Linked DNA regions of Cricetulus griseus. The protein of the gene in region 3 interacts with the protein of the main gene of each other region in a biochemical or structural test. Links are inferred from orthologs where the notes say so. Each region holds a gene or a part of one and is shown on either strand. Other genes may lie near its edges. The genes, in order: Smarcc1, Mxd1, Akt1, Nf2, Foxo1, Skp2 and Mapkap1.

Region 1 (3,500 bases), on a different chromosome or scaffold from region 3:
TATAACTAATACTTAACATGATTTCTCTCTGGAAAGCCTTCTTTGGGACTCAGATGTCATCACACATAACACACACACAAACACACACATCTATAGCAGAAATCTGGATATACAGTTGATTCAAATAGAGTTTGCTAAGCCTGATCATTTTTTCTTGGGCTCTACAGTACTTCCAACCTAAAGAATGTTTTTAAATTATTGAATTTATTTATATATAGTTACTTAATAAGATCTGATAATCCCTGAGAGATATTTTAGTTCATCACAGTTTCTGAGGGCTAGAAGAAGACAAACTGGTGTTTAGGAATTTCAATAACTATTATAAATTCCAACTCTTGACTGACTACATTGTGTGACCATACTTAGTATTCTGATCTTTGTTAGCCACTTTCCTTAGAAATCTTTTCATTTTGTGCCTTTATTGTTGTAATAGTATAAAGAGGAAGTAATACAATATATAATTTTTATTGTCCTCATAGTTGGTCTTTTATTTATTTATTTTTGGAGATTGGACATTGAGTTCTACCCCACGATTTCAGTCAATATTGACTCTCTCAATTGTTGGTGTTACAGACTTGAGCCACTATTCCCAGCGGAAGTTTTTCAGCTAATTAGGGAATAGAAACTACAGTATATACTTTGGGTAGAAAACACAAAAGTTTTTAACTGTGTTGTTTCCTCTTAAATGTAAAGGAAATTATTCAGTCAAACTATTTTTAGTAAGAAGTACTCAGGTTTTGGATTTATTTATTTGTTTGGTTGGTTGGTTTTTCAAGACAGGGTTTCTCTATGTAGCTTTGGAGCTTATCCTGGTACTCAATCTGGAGACCAGGCTGGCCTCGAACTCACAGAGATCCGCCTGCCTTTGCCTCTCCGGTGCTGGGATTAAAGGCATGCGCCACCAATGCCTGGCTATAGTTTTTGGATTTATTAATTTTCCTTTGAAACTTGGATAATGCAGAACTCATTTTAAGATTTATTTCTTTTTCAAAAAACAATGTAAACCTACGTACCTCTTTTCTTTCAGTATTCATGTGATTGAACGGCGTGCTCTTCCTGAGTTTTTTAATGGAAAAAACAAATCCAAGACTCCAGAAATGTGAGCCCAGTGTTTATCGAACTTTTTATGTTCCTAGCATGGATTTGTTGTATATGAGTGTTTTGCCTGCATGCGTATTCATGTGTACCATGTATGTGCAGTGAATGTGATGTCCAGATGAGTGCATTGGGTCTCCTGAAGGTGGAGTTAAAGGTTATGAGGCAAATCTTGGTCCTGGGCAAAATCAGAAGCAAGTGCTTTTAACCACTCGGCCTTCTCCCTGCCTCTCTTGATTCAAAAAACACAATCTCACATGGTTGTTTTTTACTTTTTTATTTTTAATAAGCAAATAGTGTGCACCACTCAGAAATTATGTGTATCTTACTTCTGCATCATTTTAACTTTAAAGGAATGTGTAGTTTTTCCTAAACCTCAGGTGATATGTGTATCAGTTCTAGCACTTAAATATTGAATCTAGTAAATGAATTTTAGTTGAAGTTTGTAATAGTCACTTTTAATGTTTCTATAGCTATATAATGGTCTGGTAGGGAATGAAATCTTTATCCCCATGGTAAATTATTACTAATTACATTCTCATTCAATTGCATTTGAATTGAGTTAAATTTTCTAAAGCATTTGCTTTTGCAATAGAATTAGGAAAAACTGGAAGGAAGTTGCTTATCAGAACAAATATTTGTCTTGTTCGTGTGACCCAATGTTATATATTTCTGGAAGTTATGTTTTTTTGTTGTTTGTTTAGCTTTTATTCTACTTTTTTCTGTTTGTTTGTGATAGGCTTTACTGTGAAGACCAGGCTAGCCTAGAACTACAGTTACACGCCTGCCTTTGTTTCCTGATTGGGATCAAAGGTGTGCTTGGCCAACTTCTTGAATGTTTTATCTCTGAAATTAATTCACAGCTCTCCTTTCTTGGAACATGACTCTATTTCCATTGCATGTGTGTACTTGCAAAGTTAGAGTGTCCTGTGATCACCCTGTTTTAGGAAGACATGATTTAAATTCTTTTCCATATAAAACACATGGGCCCACATGCACTTAACAATAAACATATTATGGTTTTATTTTTCCATGTTAATTTGAATACAGTGCTTTGATGTCAGAAATAAGGGCTGTATTCGAGTTACCAAATTCCAGATTGGGATTTAAAGCCCAGATTGTTTTCCACCCTTAAGTGTTTGGGGAGTCATACTTTAAAATTAGACTTTTCTATTTTAGCCTTTTTGTCTTGTAAATTCAGTCATTTTTGTATGCCCATGGTTGGTCTGTATGTAGCCTTTTTGAAATTTTTGACTTTTTGCTCCTACATAGCTGCTCACATGTGTTGTGAGACTTTCATTTTTGACATGCAAAATTTTTTTGTTAATGTATGCAAAAACTTGTGATAGCTTACACCTTTAATCCCAGCAGAGCAGTTAGATCTTTGAGTTCAAGGCCAGCCTGGTTTATAGAATGAGTTCTAGGGTAGCCAGGATGACACAGAGAAGCCCTGTCTTGGGGGGCAGGGCAAGGGAACCTGTTGGTAGATGTCACAATCCTTAACGTTCCTGATTTTTTTTTTTTTTAAGTAATTCATTTAATGTTATTTTATGTGCATCAGATCCCCAGGAACTGAAGTAACAGGCAGATGTGAGCCACCATGTGGTTGCTGGGAATTGAACTTGGGTCCTCTGGAAGAGCAGACAGTGTTCTTAACCACCTAGTCATATCTCCAGCCCCAACATTTTTGAGTTTTAAAAAGCAATTGTGGCAGAAATGCTACAGTATTCTGTGGAGTCTTATGTGACTTTTAGTCTCAATTTTTCTTGCTTTTGTATGCTTTGGTCTTGCCCTGATTTGTTTTCTCTTTGGTTGTTTGTCTAGCTAAGTCTCCCTGAATGGAATGCCCTGAGAAAGTATATTGATGTGTCATAACCATGTCCTTGGGTGGAAAGCAAGAGTGGTCACCCATTATGAACATAGATCTGAGATGTGGTCTTCTCACTTTCCAGCCCTCAGTCTAGGACAGGTCTTCAAGTGCTCTGTGCTTCAGTTTGTGTGTAAATGGGATGATGAACCTGATTTTACTAGGGTTCTGGGTATTAGGTGAGCGAGCTACTTCACAGTGTGCTTAGCAACCAAAGGTAGTGTTCAAATTACCTCATGTGTTGTTACAATGTGGTAAACATTTGTTTTTCATTTTATTGGTTATGAACTCATTTGAATTACTAATATTTTAGTACAATATCAGTGTTGTTGCTGCTTAATATTGCTGTCATTTTATGTCTTTGGGAATATTTTTAGATACTTGGCATATCGAAATTTTATGATTGACACATACCGTCTAAACCCCCAAGAATATTTGACCAGTACTGCTTGTCGGAGAAACCTGACTGGAGACGTGTGTGCTGTGATGAGGTAAATGTTTGCCTTAGATCCTGTGCCGATTGATTTACTTTTCAAGG
Region 2 (3,500 bases), on a different chromosome or scaffold from region 3:
ACTCGGCCCCTGCCTGGTGAGGCCCCTGAGCTTGCTGGTGGTTGGTTGGGAGGAACACTGCAGCACCCTGCTTGTCCATATTTGCTCAAGGCAGTTACCCTTGTGTAGAAGAGCTAGGCTTGGAAGAGTAACGCCAGCTGAGGCAGTATACAACATATCAGGCCCTATCCTCTCTAGAGAGCCTCTGTGGCCCTCTAGGGTAGGACTCTGTCACACATTCTGCAGCTGAGGAGCTAGAGGCCTCGGAGTTAGGTGGCCTGTTCAAAGTCACATGGGGAGTAAGTGGCAAAGCAACCTCTGCTCTGCACCACTACAGTAATGTTAGCTTGTGTAGCCGTTGACTGATGTAGAATGGTGAAAGTACTAAATATAGGGCCTGGGGTACTTGCCAACCGAGAGGGTTGTGGTTGACCTGTGTGGTGGACTGCTAGTTACAGCCACTCCTGACTGTAAGCACCGCCATTGCAGTGCAGTGCATTGCAGGTGAAAGCATGGCTTCTCATGCTTCTGTAGACCAAGCCTTTTGTCTACCCATGCCGATTATAGCACTCCTCCTAAAGAGCCAGAAGGAGGCTGTCCAAGGTCATTACTTAGGGTCAAGGCAGTGTGGCTCTGCTAACAACAGGCTTGGGGTGGGGATGGGGGTGGGGGTGGGGGCTGGAGAAGCAGTGTTTGGCACCACCTTCCCCTGCCAGGACAGGAACTAAGACCACTCTTGGTAATAGAAGACCATCTAATGGGGCAGTAAGATGACCCAGGGGGACAGTGACAGATATGTACACTGCCAGTCTGTGTCTGTGTGTAACCACATCACAGGAGGACAGTGTGACAGGCTTGTCCCCTACAGGCTTTGCAGGCTGGTAAGCAACTGTATATAATTAGTCTGAAGGCTTTAGAGGGAGAGGCAAATTAGTGCAAGCAAGACATGTCACTCTATTGTTACTAGTGCAAGCAAGTCACTAGTGTCTTGTTTTTCATAGTTTCTTTTTAGAGTTTTTAAAATTATGTTCCAGTCTGGGTGGTGGTGGTACACACCTTTAATTCCAGCACTCGGGAGGCAGAGGCAGGTGAATCTCTGAGTTCAGTGCCAGCCTGGTCTACAGAGTGAGTTCGTGTGCCTGTGTGTGTGGATATATGCCTGTGAGTGCAGGTGCCTATGGAAACTGGAGGCATCAGATCTTCCACTGGTTATGAGTTGCCCAGCGTGGGTGCTGAGAACCAAACCCATGTCCTCTGGAAGAGCAGCAGTGCCCTTAATCATTAAACTATCTCCAGCCCTCATGGTGTTTCTTTAGTATTAATTTTCTAGTGTGTGAATAAATGTTTCACCATGGTATTTTCATACATGTGCCAATGCCAATCTTACCTCTGCTCACACAGTACTTCTGATGGCACAATCTGTGTCAGAGTATATCCACCACCAGGATGGTACACACAGCTTCTGTGCCCCCACAGCTAGCATCCAGGCCTTTCCATCAGTCAGCTACATGTGCTCCTTGAGGCCCTCAGCACACCATGATCCAGCTGGGGCAAGGGACTCCGAATGAGGTCCAAGCCTCATTTCCCAGTGCTGCCCCAGGAGGCACTGCCCTGTTCCCCAGCAGCTGGAAACACTCTGTCTAGCTGGCTGTGTGTGGGAATGGGCATTACCCAGGCCCAAGCTCTGTGTAGATGTGATGAGTTGGACTCTGTCTTCAAGAAGCTTAAAGTCCACTGAAACAGCTGACGCAGTCATCGGTGTGCATAGTGTCAGTGAGTAAGCCTCAGCTAGGCTTCCCAAGGAGTCTGAGTGAAAGGTTGAGAGACAGACACCAAACCACATGGAGAAGCCCAGAACTGAGGATTCCCTGTGAGCTAGGATGGCTCAGGAAGGCACAAACACCTGAAAGTTGGCCATTTCTCATATTCATGGAATCTGTTCCATTTTAGAGTGAAGTCCAAACCAAGGTTTCAGTGGACTGTAAACATCCAAAGTTGTGGGCCCTGCTATGCTTCTGGTCATTCTGTGACACAGGATCTGTGTGTGGTTGTGGTTCTTCCACGTTAGCCTTTGTCCAGTACACTTGAGATGGAGGGATAGTGTGTCTCACATCTGTCAGCATTTCCTGTGATACACTTGTCCCATATGTGGAAAAAATTCTATGTGCAAACAGTGATTACTTAGGAGGAAAAACACAAGCTGAGGATTTTCCCCTGGGCATGTCGTCTTCTGATTCAGGAGAAGCTGATGAAAGTGCCTGATACAAGCAGCTTTTGTGCTCCACTCCCCAGAATTGCATCTGGAATCTGCCTAGAAGCACTGCTTTCCAAGGCTTCCCACTGGGTTTCAGTGCAGGTGCCTGACCTCACACAGTATTGCTGGCACCAGCCTTTGCTGGGTCTGGCAGTCATACACTTCAGAACCTATGTAGAAGTCTCAAGTGCTGCTATGGTTCTGTTTTCACAGGCGTGCTCATCTCCGCCTGTGTCTAGAGAAGTTGAAGGGGTTGGTGCCGCTGGGCCCTGAGTCAAGCCGACACACCACACTGAGTTTGCTGAAAAAAGCCAAATTGCTCATAAAGGTAGGTGACTTGCCCTGCTGGGAGGAACAAACAAGGGTGTATTTCTAGTATGGTCTCTGGGCTCCTCCCACCTCACCTGTCTCCCCATCATCTAAAACCCAGTTAGAAGGTCCAGTCAGAAATTCATGGGCTGGAGAGATGGCTCAGGGGTTAAGAGCACTGACTGCTCTTCCAGAGGTCCTGAGTTCAATTCCCAGCAACCACATGGTGGCTCACAACCATCTGTAATGTGATCTGGTGCCCTCTTCTGGCATGCACTGTATACATGATAAATAAATAAATCTTTTAAAAAAAAAAAGAATTAAAAGAAATAGATTAAAAAAAAAAGAAAAGAAATTCAGGCCCTGGCGCCTCAAGCCACTGGTATCCCCACCATGACCGAGACCACAGTGTTTGACAGCCTGACCTGTGCCCATTTGCACCTACCACTATCAACTGAAAGAGACCCCACAGTCTCCTACATGCTCTGTACCCCCCCACACACACACCTGCTGCACCCTAAGAAGCAAACCTGCTGTAGTTCATCTGCACTCATTATTCTAAATGCCTCAGGGACTCTGGTTGAGCTGTCACCAGGTCTCTCCTGCCTCTGCAGCAGCCCACTGCAGTCCTGTCTGTTCCTTGTCTTGTCATGTTCTGGGACCAGGGCCATCGTACTTGCCCTTCCCTTTGCTGACCCTTTCTTGTCACAGGGCCCCTGACTCACTGACTGGCATGGTGCACATTTGTCAGTGTCCTGTGTGGTGGCTGGATGTCTCCAGAATTATCCTGTAGCTCCACGAGGGAACCTAGGAACCTCATGACAAGTCTGTCTGTGCTGACTCTCTGTGCACTACTGAGCCACAGCCAGTATCACCATTTAGCCATAGCTTGCTTAGACAAATACCAGTTTATTAACCGTTAGCAGCCTGCATACAAGACAGCTCTGAGAGAGAGCTT
Region 3 (3,941 bases):
CCAGTCCAGGGTACAAGCAAACCTCTCCAGCTTTGGGGTCCCACCCTGCAGCCGATGCCCAGACCTCTTAGCGCAGGGCTCAGGCACTTGAGTCCCTACCCAACTGCCAGCTGCAGGAGGTGACAGGGAAGACCACCTCTGTGCCTGGGGAGGGGGTCAGGGCCACTGTTTTTGTTGGAGACATCTGGCTGCAGAGCATATCACTGGCAAGTCGCGGTAAGGCTCGCTTCTGGTCTGTGGCTCTGCCTAGGAGGCCCAAGAGGGGTGTGGCTAAAGTGTGGGCCCAGAAGAGGGCCTTGCGCCCTCCGTCCGCAGGAAGACCCTGGGCACGGGGAAGATAGAGACACAAAGAAGGTAGGGACGGGTACTGCCTAGAAACGGCTCATCACAGGTGGGAGTGCTGCAACAGTGGCTTCCAGAAAGAGCACCCAGAAGATGTCAGTCCTTGGAGAACAGTCTCCAATTGCCATGTGTTCCACAAGAGGGCGCCCTGCTGGCTCGCAGTGGCCACTCCCCACTGCCCAGCACGGGGATTGGGGAAGCAGGGGAAGAGGACCAGGGGGCCTGGGGTGAAAGTTTGCTGGGTGAGTGATGGATTTGCTCAGTCTCCGAGGGAAACCCTCAGGTCAGGGATACAGCTGGAGCAGCACAGACCCGCCGGGCTTAGCGCCCTGGAGGTGCTCAGAGCTGGGGCAGCTGTGCTGCAGACAAGCAGAACAGACCCCCTACCCCCCACCGCTCCCGCCCCAGGAGTTGTGCCCCCCGCCGAGAGGACAGTTTTCCCGGCGAGGGGTTCGCTTCATAAGTCAGTCCCCGAGGCAGAGAAGGAGCGACTCCATTCTGGACTAGCGCTAGCATGGAGTAAATCTATCCTGTTTACACTCCAGGTGAACTCTGACCCTTGGATTAAAAACAAAACAAAACAAAACAACAACAACAAAATGCCCCCTCGGAAAAAATACCAAAGACCTGGAGGTAAACTCACAAAAGGGTTATTATCAGTTCGGGCCTCAGGGACGAGGGAGGGGCTCTGCTGGGGCAGGAACTGCTGGGGCAGGCTGAAGGGGGAGAGCAGAGGGTGGGTTAGAGGCCACCTTGACTCTCCAATTCCGGGACACCATAAGGAACCGCCCCCCCCCGTCCTCCCGCCCCCCTCCCGCGCCTCGCCCATCTGAGTGCACAGCGAGGTCTTGGCTGACTTGAGCTCTACCCCGGGGTCTGCCCCCAACAGCACACTGGCCCCCCTGGATGTCCAGGTGTGTCCCCGTCTCCCTGTCACCGCAGGGTGCCCGTCAGTTTCCTTGGCCGACAGTCCCGGGTTGAATGAGCCCCCAGCAGCCTTCCTTTCTGGGTGGCGTGTGTGGCCTTTAGGACACCGGTGGCCCGGCTCGCCCGGCTCCCAACAAGGGGACAGTTGGGCCTCTTGGGAAAGTCAGAGCGATCCGCTCGCTCCGCACGCCCGCCCCGTGGGGTCTGGAGAGCCGGACCGACAAGTGCCCGGTCGTCCAGCGACGGGGAAACCTGGGCCAGGGCCCGGGCTCTGGATCTGCGGCGGCGGGGCTCCGTTACCCGCGTGGCCCTGGCTCGGGGCCACCCGAGGGCGGCGCCTGCGGGGCCGCGCTCGCGCTCACGGGGCGCCTCGCCCTGGCCGCGGCCGCGCCGGGGGCGCCCGGGGCGGCGGAGGCGGATGTGGGCGGGGCGGCGCGGCGCGGGGCGGGGAGAAGGCGGGCCGGCGGCGGCGGCGGCGGCGGGCGGCAGCACCGAAGCGGCGGCGGGCGGCGGGCGGCGGCCCAGCGCGGCAGCGCACGCGAGTCCCGACAGGCGGAGCGGACCGAGCAGCGCCCGGCGGCCGGCACCGCGGCGGCCTAGACCCGGCCAGCAGCGCGCGCGCCGGCCGCCGCTGCCTCCAGCCGGCCCCGCCCAGCGCCCGCCCGCGGGATGCGGAGCGGCGGGCGCCCGAGGCCGCGGCCGGCTAGGCCCCGTCGCCCGCACGCGCGCGGCCGGGTGAGTGCCCGCGCCGCGCCCTGTTCCGGGCCGCGGCCACCCCGCTTTGTTCCCGGCCGCGCCCGCCTGTTGGCCGAGCGAGGCCTGAGCGCGCGGCGGGCCGGGCGGATCGCGCAGGAGGCCCACGCCGGAGAGAGTGCGGGGCGGCCGCCGCGTGACCTTGGGTGGCCGCCCCGCGGGGCCAGGCCGCGCGCGGGAGAGGGGCGCTGCTGGCGTGCGCGCAGTGGGGGCCGGTGCGCCCCGGGGCCTGGGGCTGTCTGGGCACTCGGCCAGCGAGGGTAGGAGAAAGGCTCGCCCCGCGGCCTGCGTGTGGTGGGAGGGCCCTGGGAAGGAGAACTCATTTCCCACGGACAGAAAGTTGTGCGCGGTGGCACTGTGCCCAGGCTAGCCCACAAAGGACTGCTAGCCCTCCTGGGCCCGGAAACTGCTTCCTGGAGTAGGTGGTTTCTGGAGGTGCTGGGGCCTGGAGGACGCGTGGGCTCGACCTTTGGGATCCCGGATACTGGCCGAGCTGATGGATTTGTCTAGAGGACTGGTTTCTAAGTTAGGTGGTGGCCGAACCTTGCTCTGCCCTGTGGCCAAACTCCTTCACCCCCCGCCCCCCATCCCCAGGCCTCTGGTCTTGCCCCAGGTGGCTAGCCTTGACTGCTTAGAGCCATCACTCAAGTGAAGGGCGAGTCGCCTTGGGGCCCCAGCTGGGCGTGTGGGCCCAGTGTCCCAGAGGGGCTGAACTCTTCAGACTTAACAATAGCAACCATATGCTCTTATGGCAAGGCGCTCCAGGGTCGTGGAGGGAAGAAGGTCCCATGCGCAGGGCTGATTGATGTGGACACTGGTTAACATCGCTGTGCATATGAACTTATTTTTACATGGCTCTGGACAGCTGACTGTCACCAGCAGACCTCGGGTCTGGGTGGGGGTGGGGGTACATCCAGAGAGAGGTCTTCCAGTCCAACCCTCTACCTCCAGGCCACACCCACTTGGATAGCCATCATCTGGGGTTCCTTCTTGGCTTATCTTTTTCATCCTGGCTTTCCATTGCCACCTGCTTGCTAAGGGTAGGATGTTTTCCTTCTTAAGCCAAGTGTGGTCTTTCCTCCTCTGGCATTTGGCATTTGGCACACAGCAGGGCCTTCCTTTTGTTCCACATTTAGCTCCAGACAAGGCAAAGTGACAGTGACTCTGGGTGCTAGCTTGTGCCTTCTGGTCTAGAGAGGTGACCTAGGGGGTTGTCTGGGTCAGCTGTAGTAGACAGACCCAAGTTGGGATCTATTCCACAGTGGTCTTCTGGTCTTTCCTGGGCCTGTCCACAGGAACCCCAGGTGGAGGGACAGCATAGGCTTGCTGGGAAAAAAAAAAGTGTCCAAATGCACTTTCCCAGACTTGGTGACATGAGAACAGGGCCTTGAGGGATGCCCAGGAGTCCCTCCAGCAGAGAAGCAGTGCCAGGGGGAACTGGCAAAGTGTGCTTTGACTCTGACTCTCTGGTGGGTCACTGCAGGACCCTAGGTTTTTGTATGTTGCCTGCCTCTTGTGTGGGCTGAATGCTGTAACTGTGGGCTGCCTAGAAGTCTCTTTGTCCCTGATATAGAGTGAAGGTTTGGCAAACCCATAGACGCCTGGTACATGCTAGCCCAATGAATGAAACACCTTCAGGGGAGCAGGGTGCTGTGTTTGAGAGGGTCTGGGGTTTCACCTGGGGAGGTTTTTAATGTTTCCCCTTCAGACTCTGGGCTTTGCTTTATATCCATTACCTACTCCACCTGTGCCTCTGAATGCCTACACTCCTGTGTTCCTAGTCCGAGCAGGCAGGAGCCCTGCATTCTGCATTAGGCATCCTTGGCTGTAGGGGTGGTGAGAACGCAGGGACAAGGACAGTGAACGAGCACCCCTCACTAGTGTGGGGCCCAGCAGAAGCCAGCAGTGCTGCCTGGAGG
Region 4 (3,500 bases), on a different chromosome or scaffold from region 3:
GCCTATCATTCGACTTCAAGGATACTGACATGAAGAGACTTTCCATGGAGATAGAGAAAGAAAAGTATGTACCCTCTGTGGCCTACTTGCTTGAGGCAGTTGTGAACATGAGAGAGTAGATTTGGTCTGGGAACACAAAGGTCACCACAGCAGTTAGTCAGTCATTATCCCTGCAAAGGTTTGCTCTGTTGTCACCCACTAGGAGAACAAATTTCCTAATTAGAAATTAAAGATGACCGATCAGGACAGTAGTCAGTGTCCCCAGAAGAAAAATAACATTTGATTGGTGGCCTGGAATTTATAGTGGTTCAAACCTTGACTGACAAAAAGACTGGATCATGGTAAGTCCCCGAGTCAGACTGTTGTTCACATAGTGCTTAACTAGTTTTCTTCTGGTCATGTTCTTCAGCAGTGGTTCCTATGTCTAAAACAAAGGTGAAGGAAAAGAAAACAAAAAACAAAACAGGGTTTCTAGGCTGAGCAAAGCGTGGGTCCTGCTGGCAACCAGCCAAACCACAGCTGCTTCTGTCAAGTGCCCTCCACCTCCACTTTGTGGTCAGCGGAAGTGAAGCAGAGATGGAGAGGAATCCCGTGGTAGATGAAATCTAAGTAAGATCCCCCTCAGTCCTTGAGTAAGTTGGTTAATAGTGCCACAGCTGGCAGAGAACAATCACGGAGGCCCTATGTGTTGAGCACCTGTAAGTCTGGGCATTTTAGGGTTTGTCTTATTTAACTCATACTAGTCAACAAATATCCCACTGGCATCAAAGGCAGGTTTTAGGGACTGGTGATATAGCTTAGTTGGTAGAGGGCTTGCCCAACATGTGCAAAACCCTGAGTTTAATCTCCAGCACAGTATAAGTCAGGCATGGTGCCTACACCAGTAATCTTAGTTCTCAGGAAATAGAGATATGAGGATCAGAACTGCATTATTATCTTTGGCTACTTAACAAATTCAAGTCTAGCCTGAGCTACATGAGGCCCTATTTCCAAAAAAACAGTTTTAGTGTTCTAATTATATAAAAGAGAATAGACTTAATGAGTCACCCAGCATCACATAGTTGATGAGGAGCAGGACAAGGATTGAAACCCCTTACTCACTGTGGTACTCTCAGAATAGGGCTCTGCAGTCCAGCATGAACCATCATAAACCAGGCTATCCTCCTTTGATCCCTCTACTGAGAACAGCTAAGGAGCTGTGATCCAGAGCCGCTGCTGTCAGCATCAGACTGAGTCCCTTTCTTATTGTCCAGATGTACATGTTTATGTGGTTGTGATCAGCATAAGGCCACATCCTGTCCTGTGCCTTGGTTTTTTTATAGTTTGTATTTTCTCACTGACTTAGTGTGTTTGGCTGTTATAACAAAATGCCAGAAGCTGGAAAGCCTATAAACAACAGAAATTTACTTCTCGTAGTTCTGAAGGCTTAGAAATCCAAGGTCAAGGTATTGTCAACTCAGAGTTCAATGAGAGTACTCTTCCTGTTCATAGATGGCCCTTGCTGTGTACTCGTATGTGTCAGGATCTCTTTAGGGTGTTTTTTGTTTTTTTTAAGGACACAAATCCCATCATGAGGCTGAACTAGTTACTTCCCAGGGCATCACCTCCTAATACATGAGTGAGTTGGCCACAGTCTATGAATGGGACAGCACTACATTCAGCCCATAGCACTTATTTCCTACACAGGCTGGCAGAGCCCACTGACTGGCTGCTGTAATCTGTTCAGAATGTTTCCTTATATTTGTGTTATATGGTTTTCTGTTCATGCTCTTATGGTTAAACACTTTAACCTCTTCAGGTGAAAGTGGAGACCTGTTTTTTCTCAGTGTTGGCTGAGTGAGTGTCTGCCATCTTTTCCTAAAGGTCTCAGGATAAGTGGGAGAGTAGATCTCTTGGTTGACTGCTTCAGGAGGGGCAGAAACAGAAGAGTGTTTTGGGATTCAGGAGGTTTGTTTGATGTGATTCTTCATACAGAACTGAAAGCTGTCTGTGGCAGGGTTATTTGGAGAACACTCTGAAAGTTTATACAGGGCTTTCTTCCTACACTTCATTTCTTCCTGACCAGAGGCTCTGTAATTATTATCCCAATTGCACTGATGTGGAAAAGAGATTATTGCAGTTAAGTGGGTAGCCCAAGCTCCCTTGGCTTCTGCGTGGCCAGGTTCAGGTGTGAACCCCAGGCTGCTCCTGGCTATCATACCGAACAGCTTGTAAGTTATGATGCATCCCTTCCATGCCTCAGTGTCTGCCCAGTTCTGATGCATGGTTTCCTCTTGCCACAGAGTGGAGTACATGGAGAAGAGCAAGCATCTGCAAGAGCAGCTCAATGAACTCAAGACGGAAATCGAGGCCTTGAAACTCAAAGAGAGGGAGACAGCCTTGGATATCCTACACAACGAGAACTCAGACAGGGGCGGCACCAGTAGCAAGCACAATACCATTAAAAAGGTACCCTAGTCCCTGGGTTTTGATGAACAGGATACTTATTAATGAAATATGAGGTTGGCATCTAGTTTCCTCAAGAGCCCAGTCATTAGACTCTTGTTTTTTTTCTTTTCTTTCTTTCTTTCTTTCTCTCTCTCTCTCTCTCTCTCTCTCTCTCTCTCTCTCTCTCTCTCTCTCTCTCTCTCTTTTTTAACATGTACTTAGTTGAGGGGATTTTTCAACTCCTGACAGAAAGAATTTAATCTGCCAATGACCATGAACCCATTGGCTTGATGGAAGTGGAGCTTGTGTTAAAAGCTCTGATGAGATGAGTCCCTGTTTGAGGATGGGTTTTGATCTATCACTGAGCACTAAAGTGATTCTGTCTTTAAAGCCAGTGGAACTTATGCCCAAGGAACTGCCTTAATTAATGAGAGAGCAGAATGAATTAAAGGCTGTTGAATGGAGTCCCCTCTCGTCTTTGTGTAAGACCATGTTATGAATGTCCAACATTTTCATACTTAAAAGGCAGAATATAGGAGAGCTGTAATGTTTAAGAAGATGAGACTTTATTTAGGAGGCTCAGAGTCTCATCTGCCTCTCCTGATATTTAGAGTGCTCATCACTTTAGAAGTTACTCAGTCCTCGTTATCAGGCTGAGAATGTACATATCTCTTATTTGGGCAAAGCAGGAAGTTTTTTCTGGAAAGTTAATGCTTTTAGCTGATTGTCCCTGTAAAACAGGGGTTATAAAGTGATTGGTGTGGTGACATACTCTTGTAACGCTAGCATTTAGGAGTGAATGGCAGGTGGATTGCAAGTTCAAGGCCATTCTGGGCTACAGAATAAGACCCTTTTCTCCTTTGAGTTTGAATGATAACTAATGTAGTTAAGTTTTACTCTTTATTTCAGTCAGCAGTCTCCAGTTTAAGGACTGTCTCTGTTTTCAGTGATTAAGTTGTCACTGGAAATCCAGAGAAACTCATATCTCCCTACATTTCACTGGTGTGTGGGTGTATACACACATACATACATACACATACACACATACACACACACACACACACACACACGGA
Region 5 (3,997 bases), on a different chromosome or scaffold from region 3:
TGCCATCCATATTTCTTTTTAAAAGAGAAAGCAAGTCAGAAAACCAAGCGAGGAAACATTTTCTTCTGCTCCGTAATACAAGAATCATTATCTTTCTACCTTCGACCTTGCTGAGCCTGTATTAGATAGCCAGATCTGGGAGCTCGCACTGGGAAAAGTGAGGTGTAGGTGGGAGCAGGCTGAAGGCACAGATGCAGGAAGCTTAAAGGACCCGTTGGGTGATTGAAGAAGGGGGTCTGTGCCTCAACACTTGGGTCTGATCATTTTGGATTTTACTCAAAACCTCATGGCTTCCATTTTAAATAAAAAGAAATAAGCAACTAGTTAAACTTAATTAGGGGTGATAAAGTGACAAGGTTGTCTCTAAACGCTCTCCTAACCCTTTGGCCACTACTATGGTTTTCAGGGGACAGTGAGATTCCCGTGGCAGGAAAGCGGTTCCCACAGAAGACTTCAGATCAGAGGCGCTACAGGATCTATGTGCTTGTGAAACACTAGTGTCTTCTCCCCAAGCCGCACCTCTTCTGGGTTCAGGATGACTGGAGGCTGGGGGATGGACAGAAACGCAGAGTCTCAGCTTGCAGGTGTGCAAGGGTAGGGTGGGAAGAGGGACCAGGAGCCACAGAGCCTTCGGTCTTCACAGTAGGATCTTTACGCCCGAGGCAGCCCGGACAGATGCCAGCTTACGAAAACATTCCTCCAAAACAAACCCCACCGACTTCCCCAGAGCTCCCCGAAGACGCGTGGGCGGAGCGGGCTTAGTGGAATCCACGAGGCGCCCCGCCGCCCACGTCGCGTCCGGGAGCGCGCAGTGGCCCCGCGCCACCCCTCGAGTCGTCGGGGTTTGGGCTCCGAGGAGTACTCGTTTGCACTCTGTAGTAAACAAAAGTATGGTCGCCGCCTCCACGCTGGTTTGCTTCCTAGCAATCCGGACTCTGAGAAGCGAGAGACTCAGAAACACTTGAGAATTACAGAAAATAATAACGGAGATTGAAAAAAAAAAAAAAAGTGTGTGAGAAAGAAAAACACCCCGCTAGCCCCCTCCCAACAACCTACTGCCGCCTCCCGAGGGAGAGCAGCTCCCGCCCAGGCTCGCGCTCATTGGCTAGCGAGGCGGAGACGTGGCGTGTCCATTGGTCGCGCTGGCTGTCAGTCAGGGGCGGGTCGGCGCGCGCGCCGCCGCGGGCGGGGAGCCTCTGCAGATCCCGTAAGTCGGGAGGCTGCGGAGTCGCTGCAGTCCCTGCCGCCGCCACATTCAACAGGCAGCAGCGCCGCTGTCGCGCGGCCGCGGGAGAGCGAGCGAGCGGCCCGCGCCGTCCCCCCCGTCTGCTCTTGCGTCCGCGGCCCTGTCAGCAGGAGCGTGGCGCTCGAGCTGCCGGGCTCCGCGGCCTGGTCCGTGTCCCGTCCAAGCCACGAACTCGGAGGATCCTGGACCCTGGTGGCCCGCGAAGTTAAGTTCTGGGCGCGTCCGTCCGCTGCGCCGCGCCTCGCTCCGGCGTGCGTCCGCTCACCGCGGCCCCCAGTCTCGGAGCAAGTCTCTGCTCGCCCGCTCCGCGACCCCGGTGGCCGCGACTCCCAGTACTCTATACTGGTGGGGGAGGGGCGGGGGTCACCATGGCCGAAGCGCCCCAGGTGGTGGAGACCGACCCGGACTTCGAGCCGCTGCCTCGGCAGCGCTCTTGCACCTGGCCGCTGCCCAGGCCAGAGTTTAACCAGTCCAACTCGACCACCTCGAGCCCGGCGCCGTCGGGCGGCGCGGCCACCAACCCCGACGCCACCGCGAACCTGGCCTCGGCGTCCGCTGTCAGCACCGACTTTATGAGCAACCTGAGCCTGCTGGAGGAGAGTGAGGACTTCGCGCGGGCACCCGGTTGCGTGGCTGTGGCGGCCGCCGCTGCGGCCAGCAGGGGCCTGTGCGGGGACTTCCAGGGCCCCGAGGCGGGCTGTGTGCACCCGGCACCGCCGCAGCAACCCCCGCCGACCGGGCCGCTGTCGCAGCCCCCGCCCGTGCCCCCCGCCGCGGCGGGACCGCTCGCGGGACAGCCGCGCAAGAGCAGTTCGTCGCGCCGCAACGCATGGGGCAACCTGTCGTATGCCGACCTCATCACCAAGGCCATCGAGAGCTCGGCTGAGAAGAGGCTCACCCTGTCGCAGATCTACGAGTGGATGGTGAAGAGCGTGCCCTACTTCAAGGATAAGGGCGACAGCAACAGCTCGGCCGGCTGGAAGGTGAATGGCCTCGGGGGACGTGGTGGGGGCGGGCTGGAGGGTCGAAAGTGTGGGTTTGCGGGTCCCGGAAATGGCAGAGCGTGCGGAGTGAGCGGGGCGAGCGGGTGAGACTTGGCAGGTGTGGCGGAGGCTTCTCTGAGACCTGGAGCTTTGGACCAGGTGCACGCGAGGGAGTTCTAATTGGGACCCGGAAAGGGTTTGTTTGGGCACTAAGTGCAACGCCAGAGCAGGCGTGAAAGTTAGCCAGTTGTCGGAGCGAGGGGATCACTTTGGAGGGCTCTCTACTTGACACCCCGGACCTGTGAGGCTTTGGGCGGCTGCTCTCCGCCTACTCGCGCACCGACTCTCCCAGCCTTTGGTGGCCAAGGTTTCCCAGGACCCGCCAACTGAGGCCTGAGGTGGAGCCCTGGCGACATCCCCCTAAACGCACACGCACCCTTGGGGCTCCGGCTGCGGGTGGGATGGCTAAAGACGCACAGCAGCTGGCTGAGCTAGGTGCGGGCCCGCAGCTGCTGAAGGTTCCCGAGGCCGGAGCAGGTGGTCGAGCGCGCCCACTCACTGTGTAGGGTGTCCGAAGCGTGCGAGTGGGCGGCCACGGCTTTTAGGCGCTGGGCAACCTAAAGTTCAAGTGTGACCCTTGGCCGGGGCGGGAGCCGGCGGGGAGGGAGGGACCGCGTGTACAGGAAGCTGGGGCCTTTAAAGGGCCAGTGCCTCCAGCCTGGGAGGCCACACTTTAATACCCAGGGAAGTGCTTCCACGGTTGGTCTTGCTTGGGGAGGGGTGCTTTTAATTGGAAGCCCAGAAGGTGCTACGCGTGACCAGATTATGCACAGGTGTTTGCGAGTGCTTTCTTTAAGCAGAAAGCATGGAGTTACTCACGAGGGGCAAGGCTGGAAGCCTTAGTCGGAGTATTTGGTGCCAGTCTTAAGTGGGGTACTTGCTTAGGGAATTGCCAGAGACCTTCTCCTTTGAAGGAGGATTGCAGATTTGTAGATGTAGGTGCTCATGGACTTTGTTTACCTTTCTGAAGATGGCTGGGAGAGCGAGGTGACTCCAGAGTTGGACTGCGCGACATCCCTACCCTGTGTGTGTGTGGGGGGGTAGTAAGAACCTGGGGTCTTTTGGAGGAGAGAATTGGAATATTACACAGGGGTCACTCCCTGGTGGTCACCCCGGCTGACAGTTTCTTAGCATCACAGGTGAACACAGATCTTAAGATTTTCCAGTTTAACGCAACTTTTTTTTTTTTTTTTTTTTTTTTTTTTTAGCTTTTCTCCCTCCTGGTCTTGTCTGTACAGTGTAGCAGTGATGAGTCTTTGCTTTGTGATTGTTAGAGCGAGGTGGTTTCACATATTCCATCTTCCCTGTGGTTAAAGTAGCTAAAAGGTCAGGTTACTCACATCATAGGAAAGTTCTTGGAGAAAGAGCCGGGCTTGTTTTGTTTTTGCCAGTGTGTTTTAAAGATATATACTATACCTGACATGCAATATTATCAAATGTTCCAAAAAGTAAAATACCCATTTCTCATATTCTAATTCACAAAAATAGAGGTTGTCTTTACTTAACTGACTTTGAGTACTTGCCTGCTTTACTCATCTATGGAATCTCAGCAGTTACATAAAGCTTCTGTCATTAAAAATAAAACAACAAGAAACCCTAAAACCCTTTAGGCACCCAAGTACAGTGTGTACTTACATCGTTCTTTAATGTTCTTGGAGAGGGATAGATACAACCTACTTCAGTTTGTTTAAGTGCCTTACTTTAAAGA
Region 6 (4,027 bases), on a different chromosome or scaffold from region 3:
CCTCCACTAACAATCTCAATACCCTTCTAATTTCTATTGTCTCTAAATTTGGACTCTATTCAGAATCTGGCCACTGCTTATTATTCCCCACATCTTAACATGTCTCTAAGCTCTGTTGTCTATACTCTACCTGCTACAGTTTAGTCTCAGTTTACCAATGTATTCCTTTAAAGGGTTCAATGAGCATCTGGGTGGTGGCCCACATTGCTATTCTCAGCACTGAGGCAAGTAGATCAATTAGAGGCCAGCATGGTCTAGAGTGCTAGGACAGCCAGGTCTACACAGAGAAACCCAGTCTCAAAACAACATGAAAATACAAAAAAAGAAGGGGGGGTTCAATGAGGTAAGATCTTAAAAGAAGGGGGCTGTCCATATTTCTCCCTACTCTACTTTTACTATATGGCCTAGTCTTTTCTCTGGGAAATTTTACAGTGGCTGCTCCTTTTGCTTAAGGTTCTTTACACCAAGAGACATTTTCATGACATACTCCTGCTCTCTCTCCACTTTGCCTTTGTTTGCTTAAAGGTCACTATCCAATTAAGGGTTTTAGTTAATACCCAGTTTACAATCTATCTTCTGACTGCAGGGCTTCCATTCTCCCCCAGCTTGATCTGTTTCTGTTTTTGGCTACCATGGCCTAACCCATTACATAGAATAGCATGTCTAATGTGTTTATACTATTTCCTCACTGGAAAGGAAGTTCTAAGGTTTAGAAATGTGTATGATTTGTTCACTGCTATATTCGTAGCACTATACTGTGGAAACCATAGTGTGTTTTCAGCAAATATTTGATGAATCACTCTCTTTTTTTTTTGAGACAAGGTTTCTCTGTGGCTTTGGAGGCTGTCCTGGAACTAGCTCTTGTAGACCAGGTTGGTCTTGAACTCAGAGATCCACCTGCCTCTGACTCCTGAGTGCTGGGATTAAAGGTATGCCCACCACTGCCCGGCTATGAATCACTCTTTTAAAAGACAAGAAACAAACAAAAGAACCTTGTCAACGCCTCAAGTCAATACACTATATTTACCCTATGGCCCTGGGTGCTTGAGTCTTGATCTACTTGGGAGGCATTTGCTTAAAAATATTTGGGAAATAAGGGAATGGGAGTCACTAGTAAGGGGATAATTTAAGGTAAATTCTATTTTAATCAATCCATTTCACCTCTGGGTGACAGAACTGAGAAAAAAAAAAGCTGAAATTATAAACCCATTACAATAATTCAGGAAGAGATTGTGAAAGCTTGGATCACTTGTCACAAAGGAAGGAAAGGTACAATGACTAGATGTCAATTGGGGGACAATAGGGGATCAGACTAAGTAAGTTTTAGGGCTCTATGATTGTAACTATAATGCCACAGAACTGGAAACACAACACCCCAAGAGCCTGTTGGAAGTGGAGCAGGGAGGTAAATCTCCTCCCCCTAGATTAACATTTACCTTCCTAGTGTGCCTCCAAATAACCTAAGTGATTAAGTTATAAAGTTCACTCTGGTACAAAGCAGTGCATTAGAGACTAAAGGAATCCTCTAAGATCCTGCTTGTATTCCCATTCATCAGTGTGCTGAGCTGAACTTTGAGCAGGGAGATTCCCTTGTAAGGAAAAGGGGAGGAATGCTGTCTTGTGGGTTAAAAGTTTCAAGTCAATTGTGAACCAGAAGATAAATACCTACCAAGATTCCAGGAGACTTCAACGACTGGTTTCCATTTCACGGCAACACTTCAAAACTAGGCAATTTTAGGTACCCATCCTAAAGATCCCCCAAGGAAATCGTTCAATCAATTTAATTCAAACAAAGCAGTGCAATCCATTTCTTATATAATTTGAATTTTAGTATCATACTTTACCTGGAAAGTTCTCTCGATTGAGCTTAGGCCTACGGATGATCACAAAGTCTTTCTCACTGCCTTTGCTCTTTAGCCTTTTCCTTGGAGGGCTCTGGGGGTGGCCGAGGTTCGAGAGCAGTTCATGGGGAATGTTCTCACTGTCCACCTCCTCCTTCTCCAAGGCAGAGACACCCATGCCTGAGAGCAGTTCAGAGGTCTTGCTGGAATCCCATCCCCATGTGAAGCTAGTGGTGACGTTGCTACTCTGGTCCGGAATCTCCTGAAGGTGCTTCCTGCAGAAGGGCACACATTCCCCATTCCTTTTGAAAGCATACCCCTAAATAATTCCAAGGTAGGAATGAAAGAAGCGTCAAGTATGCAGTGTAGAAAAGTTACAGTGAGTAACAGTACTGCATTTTTAACGTGCCTACAGCGAGCTCACAAGAATGAAAGAAAATCGGAAACACACACTCCACTTCGAAAGGCTTTGGTATTTATGGTCCCGCAGAAGGCCTCAATAATTTCTTCCCGTGGAGGGAAAAAGAGGGAAGGCATTCATACCATGATTCAAAATAGTGGGAGGAAAACCAAATTAGGAAGCCAAATTAAACGGCACATAGATATTCTCACGAAAGCATGCATCCATCCACTATCTTCAAAAAGGGGGCTAAGCAACCATTCACATAATAAGATGAGCAAGAAGCAACATTCGCGGCCTAAAAGAATTCAAACGGTTCATTCATGCTTTGCCCGTTTTTGCAATCGGTTTACCTGTGCATTGCGTTCACGGATTGAGGGGTTTTGGATGCGTGTATTAAGTGAAGACCTGCCTGCCTCCCAGATTCCCGTTCCAGCGCGCGCCGCAGAGTAATGCCCCGGGGCCCCAGCAGCCGGACCCGCGAATTAGCAACGTTCCATCACCACCGCGCGCGCGGAGTTCTGCATCCCGCTCTCCAGCAGCCGCCTTCTGATGCCCCGTCGCCTGCTGGGAATTGTAGTTCTGGGGCCTGGCTCGCAGTCCGACTAGGTTCACTCCTCCTTCCTCCGCTCTTACTTTTTTTTTTTTTTTTTTTTTGCCAAACCCTCCAGATACCCACAACCCCCCGCGGCGCAGGGTGGCACTGGGGCTGGGGAGAGGACAGGCAAGCGGAAGTGGGTGGAGCTCAGACTGACGGGGAAATGTCAGCGGACTGACCGGGTACGGGTTTTTCTTCCCCCGGAGCCCACAGGCCTTTGGGTGACCACCGCCGCGGTCGCCTTGGACTGTGGGTCTCTGACCCCGGCAGGCTGCGGCGGACGCGAAGCTTCTCAGTCCCTTCCAGACGCTGTCTGCCGCGATCCGAAGGTGAGCCTGGGGGCGGGGGAGATGGTGGTGAGGCGGGTCGGGGACTGGGGTCCCGGCCCAGGCTGGCGGAGATAGATTGGGGGGTTCGACATGTTGAGCGGCCTCCGCCGCCAGGCCCATCTCCCTGGTCTCGGTCGCCCGCCAGGTGAGAGGCTGTGGGAGGCACACCTGCCCTCCTGCCAGACGGCTACTTCCTCCACCTGGCAGTGGGCGGCCCTTAGGACTGGGTCTGTGGACACCATCCTTACCTCAGCTGTAAAATAGGCTCGGGGACGACGCACACCCCACGGGCTTGGCCTGAGGATCACATCAGATAACGTGCGTGTGGAAGCCCTATGAAGCTCCAGCGCAGTTCCCAGAGAAGCAGTGGTTAACTTGAGGGCAGCAGGAGCCAGCGGTGGTTCCCGCGTGTATCCTTGACGGGTCTCTCAAATGCAGCCAAGGGAATCAGATGACGACCCTATGCTTGCAGTGAGAGACCACCCTGAAAAGCTGTTATGGTGCCTTTGACTCAACCCACAACTTCCCTTTGGTTCTCTGCCTAAAAGCTAAGCTAATTTAGGCTCTCTGAAGAGGTCGGGGGGCGGGGGCGATTAGATTGGAATGACCATGCGAAATGCTAGTGTGCAAACTGTGCTAAAAACGTGACTCCAGGGCCACAGGGGAGAGGGTAGGGGATGCATTTCAAGTCCAGTAAAAATGAAGAGGGTTTATAAAGTTGATGGACAAAAGCAGGCTAGCTCCATCATAAAGTTAAGAATATTGGTTCATATGTTAGATGACATGCCCCTGAGTTTCTATGAGGGGAGGGGCCAAGACTGGTTTTATAACGGAATTAAATCCCTCTTGCTCAGGCGTG
Region 7 (4,176 bases), on a different chromosome or scaffold from region 3:
GTGCTAGAATTAAAGGCATGTGCTACCGAAGCCTGCTGGCAAACGTGTGTGTGCGCGCTGCCTGCATGTATGCCTGCACACCAGAAGAGGGCGTCAGATCCCATTATGGATGGTTGTGAGCCACTATGTGGTTGCTGGGAATTAAACGCAGGACTTCTGGAAGAGCAGCCAATGTAACTATAAAGGCATTTTTTACATTTATTTTTTAACCTATGTACATGAGTGTTTGTGTGCATATATGTTGTACACCACATGCCTACCTGGTGCCCACAGAGGTCAAAACATGGCATCAGATCCTCTGGAACTAGAGTTACAGATAATTGTGAGCCACTATACAGGTGCTGGGAACTGAACCCAGGTACTCTGGAAGAGCTTCCCATGCTCTTAGCCACTGAAATATCTATCCAGTACAACATGTCTTTTTTTAAAATGGGGTTTCACTGATGCTCAGGCTGGCCTCAAAGCATCTGTGCAAGTTCTCTGCTGCCTCAAAGTACCAGCTGCCAAGCAGTTGGCCTGCACCACAATGCCAGGCCTTGTATAGAGGAGTTTCTGTATTGTCCATTTCAGCGTTCTTATTTTCTCATTCATATACTTGCAATATATACTTGCAAAGAGTGCCATGGTGAGAAAAAAGGCAAGACCTGGCTCTGTCTCATACCAGCTGTGCAACTATCCTGTACTTCCCGCCCATAAATTTTAGTTTAATAAATTATGTGAGGAAAAGTAAAGTTCAGTTTGCCTCACATTATGCTCACTCACGTGATCAAATGTCACTTCCCAAAAGCTAGCACTGTGTCCTACTTCATTTCCATCTCAGAGAAACCCTCTTACATGGCCCCTGTCACTTCAATGGAGTGACTGATTCCTCGCACAGTAACAACTCCCTGAACACCGTGACTAAGTCCTATTAAACTACACTACAGTGCCTGACCTAAATCCACGCACAATAAATGCTTGCTACATCAAATGACTGTAAATAACAAGTGTTTATGGGATTCTAGGTAAGAAACCATTTCCAGGGCTGGAGAAACAACAACAGTTCAGCAGTTAGGAGTCAGGACTGCTCTTGTGGAGGACCCAAGTTGGGTAACCAGCAACATGCAGCCCATAAGTAACAGTGGCTCCAGCTCTAGGACATCTGACACCCTCTTCTGTTGCTCTGACCACTGAGGGCAATGCTCTCACACATACACAAATCCTGCATGGGCACACATATTAAAAAAATAATTCTTGCCAGGCATTGGTGGCGCATGTGTTTAATCCCAGCACAAAGGCAGAGGATCTCTGTGAGTTCGAGACCAGCCTGGTCTACAAGAGCTAGTTCCAGGACAGCCTCCAAAGCCACAGAGAAACCCTGTCTCGAAAAACCAATAATAATAATAATTCTTAAGAAAAAAGGAAAGAAAGAAATCATTAGAAGCTAGATTGCCCCTAATAGGTTAAGTGAGACCACCTTCAGGTGAACCATGGGAAGCATTATGAATGTGTTAGAAGCCAAAAACCAGAAAGCTTCTAGGTGGAGTGGAGTCATTCTTTTTTTAAGTATTTGAGAACAAATCAAAACTGATTTGAGATCTTACTTATCCAGAGGGAAGGTCTATAATGGAAACTTTTATAAGCTTAACTGTAAAAAGCTAGCCAGGAGCCACAGGCACATAGAGGCTATGCAGGCACTATACACATTAGTAGATGTGAGCACCCAGCTGAATAGGACAGGGACACCTGGTATGCCCCCCACCTGAGACTCCAGTTAAGTTTGAGGGGGTCTAAGCTGAAGAAGATGGGGACAATTATCACTGAGCGAGTACTTTCACTGCAGCTTGGGTGGCCTAAAACCACGGGAATAATGCACTTTATTTCTGCTCTGGAGGGTGCTCACAAGAGGGGGCCACCCCGTCTGTTGGTCAGGTGAATGCGGACCTTTTAACTGAAGTGTCTGTTCACCTCACTGTTCATGCCTGAGAAGGTTTTGAACTTGGTTGTTGGGGGGGGGGCGGGGGGAGCTATAACAAACATGATGCTTTGCACGGAGTTGGGGACAGTGACAGTTTCAAATATTGGCAATCATCCAAAGGAAGTGTAACAAATTTCGAGGTCCCTGGTTGGTCTTATAGTTTCTGATTCGTGTTATACACTTCTTTAAACTCTATTCTTTTCTTCTCCCCACCCCCACCCCCCAGCTTTACCGCTCCTCGCCACTCCCATAAACAGAAAAACCCGGAATCCAAGTTCCCAGCAGCACGCCAGATAGGAAAACAATCTGAAGGACTGTTTCTGGACTGTCCGGGCAATACTCTGAAAACTGATTTCACAGAGTGGAGCTGGGGCACCGGACCTTGTCGAGTTCGGGACCTGAAACCGCTGGAGCCACGTACGCTCCCGCTCCCGCCCCCACACCCCCAGGTCCACAGCCTCTCCTCACCTAAGTCACACACCCAGCTGTCAGGTTCGCACGCTCCCAGGCCACCGAGCACGGCCCGGGCGGGCGGTCGCGGGGCAGCGCGGGCAGCGGGGTGCTGAGGGACCACAGGGTCCCGCGGGCGAGGGGCGGCGGGCGGCGGCTAGGGCAACCTTTACCTGAAGCCGCTTCCACACTCCCCTGAGGGAGGCCCGGCTTTCCCACGCCCCCCGGCCCCTGCACCGAACCCTGCGCCCACGAAGTCCTCGGGGACCAGCGCTTCTACCGGCCGGCTCGACTGCCGCTCCCCAAACTCGCCCTCATGACCCCGCCGTTCCCCGCCGCCGCCGCCGGCCGGCAACACCAGCCCTGTTACCCGGAGCCGCGCCACGACCCGGAACCGCACCCGGCGTACCGGAAGTCCCCGGTCGGGAAAGGGCCTCTGGCTGGGGACGCAGTGCGCAAGTCCCAGAGCCAAGAGCCAAAGCCTCCGGGGGGGCGGGGCCTGGCGGAAGGCTGGCGCACGCGCGCTGCGCTCAGGCCGATCTGGAAGCATTCTTGGTTTTACAGGCAGCAGTCATCACCTTAACCTCCACTGGGAACAGTCCTCGGTTTAACCTTCATGTCAGAAAGAAGAGTTCACTGCCGTTATTATTTGTTAGATGGACATGGTGTCAAACTGTTTTTTAATTCCTATCTGAACACCCAAATTAGCGCAGCTCTCAGACCTCATCAGAGAAGTTTCTTACTGCAGTGGACGGTGGTTAATACAGAAACTCACAACTGGCCAAAGTGCAGAGGTGAAACGTCTATACGGTGCTCAGTCGAAGTGGGGCACATCACACCTCCATTCTGGAAGGTTCAGGGACCATCATGAAATCAAAAAAAAACAGACCACAAGAGCCCGAGGTCTGGAACAATCAGCATCTTCTGGACCTGACAGGCTCTCTGCATACATGAATTCACAGCAGTGCAAGTTACCTGTGCAAGACCCACAGAAGACCAAGCCAATCAACGTGGCAGTTGGTTCCTACTGGTGGGAGGGACTGTCGGTTTAGCATAAGGGTATTGCCCCTGGTAGGTCAACCATCTCCAGTAGATGGCCTCACACTCAGAAGTATATATATAGGCAACACAAATTGGAATTAAAAATATTTAGGGGGGACACTATTCAAGAGTTTGGGAGAGGGTAGAGGTGAATATGAGATGAATTGGGGGAGGGCATGAATATGATCAAGATACGTTGTATGCATGGATGAAATTCCAAACAAATTTAGTTTTAAAATCTTTGTTTTTAAATCGTTTTTTTACAGAGTCAACCGCCAATTCTATATTTCTGTGAATCTTTGGACACTACACCTCTAGATTTTTCCACCTATAATGATAGTTTCATCTTCTGAGTATTGCTATGAAAATAAAATAGGTTGGTGAATAATAAATACCAGCAAAGTGGCCAGCACATCATAACAAATGTTAAGACTCTCATAACACACACACAAAATAGTGAGGATAACAACCATATTCAGGACTGGCAGAAAGTCTGGGTGAGATGTAAGAAGATTAACTTTCTGGAAAAAAAATCAGTAGCAGAGGGCTAACAAGATAGCTAGCGAATCATTTGATCTGCAGAATTCAAAGAAACATCTGTATGTGGTGGTGCACAAGAACAACCCCAGGGAGACAAAGGTGGGCAGACCTCAGATGCAGGGTAGCCAGTCAGTCTTGCCTAATTGAGTGACACCCAAGACTCCAAGAGAGACCCTACCTCAAAAAAA

What was found.
Region 1: of the proteins of Akt1 (region 3) and Smarcc1, one has a biochemical effect on the other in vitro, tested with the Homo sapiens proteins (2 studies listed by BioGRID, with this or other methods). The link is inferred for Cricetulus griseus from reciprocal best matches to the Homo sapiens genes AKT1 and SMARCC1.
Region 2: of the proteins of Akt1 (region 3) and Mxd1, one has a biochemical effect on the other in vitro, tested with the Homo sapiens proteins (2 studies listed by BioGRID, with this or other methods). The link is inferred for Cricetulus griseus from reciprocal best matches to the Homo sapiens genes AKT1 and MXD1.
Region 4: the proteins of Akt1 (region 3) and Nf2 form a complex in vitro, tested with the Homo sapiens proteins (2 studies listed by BioGRID, with this or other methods). The link is inferred for Cricetulus griseus from reciprocal best matches to the Homo sapiens genes AKT1 and NF2.
Region 5: of the proteins of Akt1 (region 3) and Foxo1, one has a biochemical effect on the other in vitro, tested with the Homo sapiens proteins (4 studies listed by BioGRID). The link is inferred for Cricetulus griseus from reciprocal best matches to the Homo sapiens genes AKT1 and FOXO1.
Region 6: of the proteins of Akt1 (region 3) and Skp2, one has a biochemical effect on the other in vitro, tested with the Homo sapiens proteins (4 studies listed by BioGRID, with this or other methods). The link is inferred for Cricetulus griseus from reciprocal best matches to the Homo sapiens genes AKT1 and SKP2.
Region 7: of the proteins of Akt1 (region 3) and Mapkap1, one has a biochemical effect on the other in vitro, tested with the Homo sapiens proteins (3 studies listed by BioGRID, with this or other methods). The link is inferred for Cricetulus griseus from reciprocal best matches to the Homo sapiens genes AKT1 and MAPKAP1.

Annotation. Positions count from the first base shown.
Region 1 is NC_048597.1:217,639,747-217,643,246, forward strand, and holds part of Smarcc1 (SWI/SNF complex subunit SMARCC1), read left to right. Parts: intron 1-1,027; coding exon 1,028-1,099; intron 1,100-3,339; coding exon 3,340-3,453; intron 3,454-3,500. UniProt on the Homo sapiens protein: Involved in transcriptional activation and repression of select genes by chromatin remodeling (alteration of DNA-nucleosome topology).
Region 2 is NC_048601.1:58,400,184-58,403,683, reverse strand, and holds part of Mxd1 (max dimerization protein 1), read left to right. Parts: intron 1-2,446; coding exon 2,447-2,561; intron 2,562-3,500. UniProt on the Homo sapiens protein: Component of a transcriptional repressor complex together with MAX. In complex with MAX binds to the core DNA sequence 5'-CAC[GA]TG-3'. Antagonizes MYC transcriptional activity by competing with MYC for MAX binding.
Region 3 is NC_048598.1:181,381,157-181,385,097, forward strand, and holds the start of Akt1 (RAC-alpha serine/threonine-protein kinase), read left to right. Parts: upstream 1-1,141; 5' UTR 1,142-1,256; intron 1,257-3,941. UniProt on the Homo sapiens protein: AKT1 is one of 3 closely related serine/threonine-protein kinases (AKT1, AKT2 and AKT3) called the AKT kinase, and which regulate many processes including metabolism, proliferation, cell survival, growth and angiogenesis.
Region 4 is NW_023276807.1:100,122,234-100,125,733, forward strand, and holds part of Nf2 (merlin), read left to right. Parts: coding exon 1-64; intron 65-2,282; coding exon 2,283-2,448; intron 2,449-3,066; coding exon 3,067-3,071; intron 3,072-3,500. UniProt on the Homo sapiens protein: Probable regulator of the Hippo/SWH (Sav/Wts/Hpo) signaling pathway, a signaling pathway that plays a pivotal role in tumor suppression by restricting proliferation and promoting apoptosis.
Region 5 is NW_023276806.1:99,188,626-99,192,622, reverse strand, and holds the start of Foxo1 (forkhead box protein O1), read left to right. Parts: upstream 1-1,197; 5' UTR 1,198-1,614; coding exon 1,615-2,229; intron 2,230-3,997. UniProt on the Homo sapiens protein: Transcription factor that is the main target of insulin signaling and regulates metabolic homeostasis in response to oxidative stress.
Region 6 is NC_048595.1:342,748,792-342,752,818, forward strand, and holds the start of Skp2 (S-phase kinase-associated protein 2), read right to left. Parts: upstream 2,801-4,027; 5' UTR 2,603-2,800; coding exon 2,595-2,602; intron 2,117-2,594; coding exon 1,845-2,116; intron 1-1,844. UniProt on the Homo sapiens protein: Substrate recognition component of a SCF (SKP1-CUL1-F-box protein) E3 ubiquitin-protein ligase complex which mediates the ubiquitination and subsequent proteasomal degradation of target proteins involved in cell cycle progression, signal transduction and transcription.
Region 7 is NC_048599.1:146,129,448-146,133,623, reverse strand, and holds the start of Mapkap1 (target of rapamycin complex 2 subunit MAPKAP1), read right to left. Parts: upstream 2,801-4,176; 5' UTR 2,426-2,800; intron 1-2,425. UniProt on the Homo sapiens protein: Component of the mechanistic target of rapamycin complex 2 (mTORC2), which transduces signals from growth factors to pathways involved in proliferation, cytoskeletal organization, lipogenesis and anabolic output.